Oryzias latipes: one gene and its partner. The main gene of each other region encodes a partner of the protein of the gene in region 2 in a complex. Links are inferred from orthologs where the notes say so. Each region holds a gene or a part of one and is shown on either strand. Other genes may lie near its edges.

Region 1 (4,527 bases), on a different chromosome or scaffold from region 2:
ATGAATTTGTCTTAATGACTGCAAACTTTCTGCTCCTTTTAAGGCATAATCACCTGTTTTGGGATGGACACTGAACGGACTCTTGAGCAGATGGTTCACCCCTTTGCTGACGTTCACGTCGAGCCGAGGGTAACAGTACTGCAGCATGATTTCTTTTTCAAAGTGTTGGCCTTTTTTCACAGTACCCTAAGAAAAGAAAAAAAAACAGACGTCCTTCTGCACAAGAAAAAAAGATGTTATAAAATAAACCTATAGAAAAGTACAAACCTGCTTATTCTTAGCTTCATTTTTTATCATTTTCCAGAGTTTTTCTGGTTGCTTCACACCTTTCATTTTGGTCTGCAATTCATTTCTGACATGTTTTTGTGTATTAAGGTTGTAATTGTTTTATCTTATTGGCTCATATTAACACAAAACTTGTGACTTAAAAAAAAGGATATCTTCAGGCACAAGGGCCAGCACTTTGTCCACACACTCCTTGCGACCCAGTATGTCTTGGTCCTGCACCGCGTATTCCAGAAAGTATTTCTCCACCACTTCCAAAGATGCACTGTTAAGATTACAAATGTGGGAAATCTGAACAAACTGAAACCTAAACAGAAGAAAATGTTCAATTCTAGTAAAACAGAACAGTTTGATGCTTTAAAAATGGTTAAAAGTCTCCAAAAATAAAAGATTCACACCATTCACTGATGTGGGACTGCAGATAAAAATAGAATGCGTTTGAAACATTAAAATGTGGGTTATTACCTGATAAAGGGATGAATTGGATCTGTCAGGACCACTTTCTTCACCGTCTCCTCACCGCCCTACGAAGCAAACATGAGTTCAATAAACAGAAACTGAAAAAGAGAGATTTACAGGAACTGCATGAAAATGTATCAACAATGTTCCCTTATTTATGGAAGTTTTTTTTCCACCCATAATTCAAAATAATATTCAATTCTCAATCAACAATTAAATTTGCAATTTGATCATGCAATTTAGAAACGCATGTGGCAGATGAATATACCAAACTGACAAATGTTTTGCAGTTTCTTTAGAATTTTGACAGAGAAATATCACGGCAAATAGAAAAGCAATAGAGTTTATGTTAAATTAGGATGAATGTAAAACAAACAAGTAACTGAAATATATATATTTTTAATAGTGATTTATAAACTGGAAAATGTATTTTCAATATGCATATCCAAATTCCACATTGAATTATAAATTGCAAAATCCATTTTTACTTGTAATTTTAATTATGGTAACAAAAACCTATGACTAGTGGTTTTTATTTCAAATTACATTTTTAAAAATGTAACATTGAATTCTTATTTTACATTGAATTTACATTTTAAAATGGCAAAATGAATTGTCAGTTGGGAACTGAATGTTACTACGAAGAAATCTTCCACACTTGTCTCTATTTTTTAAACAAGCAAACCTCTTTCGCTTTTGTTTTTATAAACTGTTAAATTAAACCCATTTGCACCACATTACCTTGACCAGACTGAGGTATTCTGCCACAGCGGAACGTCCTGCGGCAGAGAGCTTCCGGGCAGCTTCATCACACACCCAGCAATGCACTCCTCTTCTGCCGGAGTAAACCCACAGCAAGTGCTGGAAACCAAAGTCGTCTGGAAATGCCAGAAAGCAGACTGCGGCTTCAAATAGGTGTGGAGCAGTGAAAAAGAGGTGAAGAGACACTGAAGACAAACCTCGGAGAGCCCTGTCCAGAATGTGAATGGCGATGGTCATCAGCGTCCAGCACTTGGAACAAATATCTGCAGCACTACAAGTGAAGTTTTGACATATTTAGTACATTTATGGAGAAAGCAAAGACATTACAAAGTAATGGCATATCAATAGTTCTACCTGCAGCAGGTGCGGACATCATCGTAGTCGGTCATGTCAATGTCAAACACAAGCTCCTTCTCCAGAGCCTGGAAGCTGCCAGACTTTACGGTGTTGTGTTGGTTAGGCTGCAGGTGTAAAGGAAGCCATCAGCTCTTTCTGCATGTCTGCATTGATGCTCAGAGAAGCAACATCAGAACCACGGTTACCAACCCTGTGACTGTAAACTGCTCCAATGTCGATCTTGTAAGGGTTCATCTTCTGCATTTCCTTCTCCAGCTCGTTCTGCGTGCTGAATGACTGGTAGCGAACATAGATGTCATCCTTGAGAGTGAAGGAGAACTCCCGGTTCTGAAAGTAGTTTTTTTGCACTGAGGAGAAAGAAAAGCAGGAAGAAAGAAAGATCTGTTCATTTTATGAAACCAAACACAAGCTTTAGCTCAAACATTCGCTTGTTATTTTGACCAAATATTCAGCTAAATTAAACCATGAATTAGAATTCAACTTACAATAATATAAGGTTCTACTAAATAGATGTGTTTTAAAAAAACAAGTGGGAGGATTATATATATATTTCATAAAATCCTAATCGATGTCAATGTTTGGGTTTGTTGTTGTTACACAATCAGCTCTCAGATATCCTGTCAGCGGCTGAATAAACACAATCGATAACTTTAAGCACTCAATATTTGACAGTCTTTAGCGGTTTAGCATCCCAACATTAACTTCTTCTACATTCCACAGCGTGTGTTTGTTTATAACACTCACCTCCGCCGTAGTTCAGCCAGCGATAATATTGTGAGAAGGGGAACAGTCGCCGGTAGTAGAGCGGTAATAAGTCTGGGAGACAAGCTGGGTCGTAGTCTGAATACGACATTCTCATAAAGCTACAGCTTTGACAACAATTGTAAATGGTTCAAAAATACCAGCGAGACGCTAGCTTGTCTGTTCTTCTTGCTAAAACGCTCACTGTGGCGTTTGCTTGCTGCAGAGCGCGCGGGAAAACTTAGAACAGAAACAACCAATCACAGGGGACTTCCGTTCACGACGTCACCACAACCAGGAAATGTCCGTGCATCCTCTTTTCTGAAGTGACGAATTAGAGAAGGGTTATGGGAAATGTAGTTTAGTTGGAGAGATACATCCGAGGCGTGTAAAACTGAAACAATTTGTGCTGTTTTTGTTTAAGGATAGCACTCTTGCAAAAATATATAGTTTTAAATATGTTTATCTTTTATTTGTTTATTTTTAACTGTCTATAGTTGTTTTTGCTTAAGTATGTCCCCGTTACAGCTCTACACCATTGACTGTGTGTGTGTAGTTATTTCTACGTGCAGTCAATGCTCTGGACACAGGAAAGGAAAAAAGAAATAGATAGATAAAATTTATTACAAACCAATAGTTCAATCATTCATATAAAACCACACAAATACAATAGAATAAAAGAGGCCAACTAAAAATAAAAAGTCAAAAAAATCCTTATTAAAAAGGCAGAAATAGAAGTAAGATATACAATAAATCAATATTATTATTATTATCCAAAACCTAAATATGGTTTTATGCTATTGTACTTGGTTTCCTTGTCAAACTGTCATGAACAATAGACAATCAACAATAAATAAATAATGACAAACTAACAAGTGCTCAAGTTTTGAAGTTATATTTTCTAACTGACTGGAAAAAAAATCTTTCTTTTCCCCCTAATTGTTGAGCCATATAGACATTTAAACTGGTGAGTAGATTAAAAAAATAACAAGGTAAAACTTTTACGAAATTGTAGGCAATTTTCTGCTTTACTGTGAAAAATTTGAATGAATAAAATACTGACATATCCTACAAAAATGACGTCTTGCTGTGTTTCGTGTTCAGAAAACATTCTCTGGTGGGTCATAAAATATACATCTTTTAAGTGTCAAACATCCAATAAGCAGTTAATTTTGGACGAAATTGTAACTCTTTCTTTTCGAAAGAGATCCTTGAATTTGTGCCCATTGAGAGACTCCTAAAAAATGTTTTAATAAGTATTTTACCACTGAATGAATATTCACAACTTATTTTGCCTTTAAAAAAATTGAATCTGTAAATTCAATACGGGCCCAAGTCCAAGAAGTTTGTTTTTCCAGGAAATTATTTTAATTGCATAGCTTAAAGGGAGGCAACACTAAATGATTAATACTTTACCCAGATTTAGCACCAGATCACAGTTTACAAATGCTATAATATGAAGCACCTCACTTTTGTAATTTCAGAGGACTAGTAAACTAAAGTCTCTGGACGTGGGCCCTTCTTGAATTAAACAGAAGTAACATCTGGAAAGAATGGACAAACCACATATTTATCATCATGAATCTTTATTTTTCAAACTGTCACATTCTTAACACTTCTTAGGATCAGTTTCTATCCAAACCCTTTTTCTGCTACATGATAAGTGCTAGTCAGATTTGTTTTCCTCCTAAAATGGAACAGGTTATCAAAAAGATACATCTGATCTTCATATTGAGACTCGTCATTGCCCCTAGTATCTCAAACTCTTAAGTCATTGAGGAACTGCTGAGCCTCTGGTAAAAGATATTTTGCCAACCCTTGAACATCCTTTACCTTTGCTGCCTTTACACCAAGTTGCCCAATTTCCTTTGCTGCTTTCACTTCTTTTTTGGTATTGACATATTCCTTGCCTTCAGCATGTAA
Region 2 (3,069 bases):
GCTCTCTTTAAGAATCTCACATCACCTGTAGTCCGTCAGACGAGTGGCGGATAAGAAAGCTGCGCAATGTAAAGCCAGTTCACTGCTAATGACTGTAAATCCATCTGCAGAAATGGTCTTGGACATCCGTGGCTTCAGACTGTCGAGGGGGGGGGCAGCGGTGTCAAATGTAGTCATGCTTTACCAAATATTGAACATCAAGAAGTATCTTGCTGACAGCCGCCCGCCTTCAGTTATCCAGTTGTCTTATTATACTGGATAAATCCTCTTCATGTCAAGCACCATGACTGGATTTTAAGACCCAATTTCCGTGCAGGAATGTGGGACTCTGATTCTCCGGCGCTGCCACACGTGGATGCAAGTGCAGCCTGAATGATGTAGTGTTTCGACATGCACATAAATATAACACCCAAATAAGAGAAACAGTCCGTCTTGCACTGCAGGAGCAACGCAATCTCAACTTTTGCCACCATTTCTGGGAAATTATTAAGCAGACGGGCCAGACAGAGAGAGGGGGAAATATCTCGCCACCTCATTTGCTTTGAATAAATTGCATTGTGCATTATGAGGCAATATTCCAAGGCAGAGTAATACAACTGTGGAAATGGTTTATTTTTTCATCCATCCTCCTGTCAGCATTTATCCATTAAGCTGCCATCAAATACAAAGACATTGTTTTGGGGACAGCAAGGAAATGTTTACGGTTTCCCCCAAAAGCCAAACTCCATCCAAACAGAGACCAGATTTAAGCCCTGCGAGTTCAGTCCACAGCGAAAGCAAAGGAGCTAAATATGTGTTTATTACAAGTTTTACAGGAGGCTCCAATCTGACAAGGTGAATATAAAAAAAAAATCTTAAAAAAAAAGAAAAAGCATAATTCAAATGTGATGCAAGAGGCTTGAAGACAGTATGTAACCATCTCCAATAGAAAAAGGTGGAGGATTTCTCCATGTAGTGAGAGAAATCAGCCATCTTTAAAAAGAGCTTCCAGGTCCTCAGCCGTCTCTGCCAAATGCTGAGAGGTTTCCTGCACCTTCTGAGGAACGTCCACATCCCTCTTTGGATCCTTGCCTCCACCTAAAGCTTTCTGGCTCTCTATAAAGTACTGGTTGGGGTGACTGAGTGAGAAAGAAGAGTCCTCCACCTGCTCGTAAAGAAACAGAAAAAAAAAAAAAAAACAGGAGAGGAAGGTCAGCGGAGGATTCTAACTATGGGCTGTCACAGAAGTGGCAGGTTGACTGACTGATTTCATGGAATGTCACCTTTTAGAAGATGATTGTCTCACTTATGGAGGAAGATGAGAACTCTTGCACAGACTTATTTGACTTAACGGGTTTTCACGGCTTCGTTTGTAAGGTAAGTCACCTCCAGAAGTGTGACACGAGTGCAAAAGCTGTCACATGAAATGTCCTTTCAGGACAGAGAAAGTCAAACCAATGGAAACCTCAAACTGTTTTGGGCTTTCAACTTATTAAGAAGCATTTTTAGGATTTTAGTAAACCGTTTCATGGTTTTTAAAGTGTGTAGAAAGGATAAAAGATTTGTTTACAATTTATTTTCATAACTTTCTTTAAAACCCCACTGTTCAAAATTAGAAAATCAAAACTGTACAGCTCGATAGCTCCGATATTGCTCGCCATTTTTGCATCGAGGAGGGGGAAGGGGGCGGGGTTGCTCTCCACCAACGGTCCCGCCCACAAGTCAGAGATGAACTTTTGATGAACAACTGCTGCCCTGCAGAAATTATGTTCTCGAAAAACAGCTGTTTTTTGGGGGCTAGAAACGGCATAACCGTAATTAAAAGACCACTGCTGAAAATAAAAATAAAAACGATTAGAGCGTCTTTAAAACTATTGTGACTGAGCAAATTCTGTTTGTTTTTTAGCCCCTTTTGAAACGACTGTGAATTACAGGTTTTAAATGAGGATAATTATACAGACTTTGAATTTCCCTCAATCTGCTTTTCTGTGTGGGACTGAAGCGATTCTGCAGTGAGTCTGAGGTAACGATTGCCGCCACTTTCCCAGGTCTTCTCTATGGAACACGCTGTGTAAAATCCTACAGGTCTTTAAGTTATTAGCATCATGACAATGAGATAAGAATCTGCAGGAACACTTTGCCTGTCGAAGCAAATGAACTTCTCTTCTACGCGACTGCAGACAACATTTCTCAAGTGACTGCATGCATAATCTAAATTAATGTATGTGAAGTTCTTGTAAGCAAACAATTGAACCACAAACTATTCATTAAGCTTCATGTGCAGTTAATCAAGTCATGACTACATTGTCCCTTCAACAGTTATTGCCATTAGAGGCAAGAAAAATAACCAAATGCAGGATTACAGAAATATCCAGAGTTCTGGTACTCTTCTAAGGTTTTGTTCTTTGTTTTGACCAGATCCAAAAACACTAAGTTAGATTTGCTTCTTTATCATAGAGCAAGTTCTTTCCTTTTAGTTTTCTGTGGTCTGTCAACATATTTCTAACAGTGGTCCCTCGCTATATCACAATTCACCTTTAGCAGAGTTTTGGTGCACTTGTAATTGTTTTTTTAACAGCGGATTCTGTCCTGCATCCTGATTGGCTGTAGACCATTGTCAATCAGTCCCATACGTGTGGTGTCTCGTGTACAGAACGCGTTCAGTTTGCAATATTTAAATAAACATTCAATTGTTAGCAAATCTTTGCTTTCATTCTATAATACTGGACTTTTTTTTAACGAAGGTTTGAACTTTAAACATTTGAATAAGAGAGGAAATATTAATATTTGTCTGAGAGAAGTCTCAGAGAGGAGTCTCACAGTATTAAACCTTTAACAATATTTGTAAAAAATAAAGCTAATGATGGAGGTTATTTTTAGAACATAACTCCCTCAATAAACGAGGACCTGCAGTATTTTAAAAAATAGCATGTATTTAGAGGTTTTATTCAATTTCAAGATCAAATATTTCTCTAATAATCTAAAATCAAAGTGTATTTTTTAATGTAGTTTTAGGCACTCGCATCAGTTCGGGCAGACACGACAAAATATGCAAAAAGGTGTAAAAACAATCATCTGAAAAACATTTTC

Evidence for each region.
Region 1: the proteins of prim2 (region 2) and prim1 are in contact, whole or in part, in a crystal structure (PDB 5EXR), measured with the Homo sapiens proteins. The link is inferred for Oryzias latipes from reciprocal best matches to the Homo sapiens genes PRIM2 and PRIM1. Residues at the interface, in NP_000938.2 of Homo sapiens: Glu165, Ala168, Ser169, Pro171, Ser172, Phe188, Ala189, Leu192, Phe195, Arg196, Gly197, Arg198, Val200, Tyr201, Leu202, Glu203, Asp204, Gly205, Phe206; in NP_000937.1 of Homo sapiens: Lys147, Glu148, Asp149, Phe150, Gly151, Phe152, Ala180, Val181, Gly184, Ile185, Glu187, Tyr188, Ser190, Leu191, Lys193, Lys207, Ile208, His209, Pro210, Ile212, Arg213.

What each region holds. Positions count from the first base shown.
Region 1 is NC_019865.2:19,076,898-19,081,424, forward strand, and holds the start of prim1 (DNA primase small subunit), read right to left. Parts: upstream 2,853-4,527; 5' UTR 2,723-2,852; coding exon 2,608-2,722; intron 2,211-2,607; coding exon 2,053-2,210; intron 1,968-2,052; coding exon 1,861-1,967; intron 1,778-1,860; coding exon 1,704-1,777; intron 1,623-1,703; coding exon 1,486-1,622; intron 810-1,485; coding exon 751-809; intron 551-750; coding exon 441-550; intron 360-440; coding exon 268-359; intron 187-267; coding exon 54-186; intron 1-53. UniProt on the Homo sapiens protein: Catalytic subunit of the DNA primase complex and component of the DNA polymerase alpha complex (also known as the alpha DNA polymerase-primase complex - primosome/replisome) which play an essential role in the initiation of DNA synthesis.
Region 2 is NC_019873.2:24,463,289-24,466,357, reverse strand, and holds the end of prim2 (DNA primase large subunit), read right to left. Parts: intron 1,145-3,069; coding exon 965-1,144; 3' UTR 589-964; downstream 1-588. UniProt on the Homo sapiens protein: Regulatory subunit of the DNA primase complex and component of the DNA polymerase alpha complex (also known as the alpha DNA polymerase-primase complex) which play an essential role in the initiation of DNA synthesis.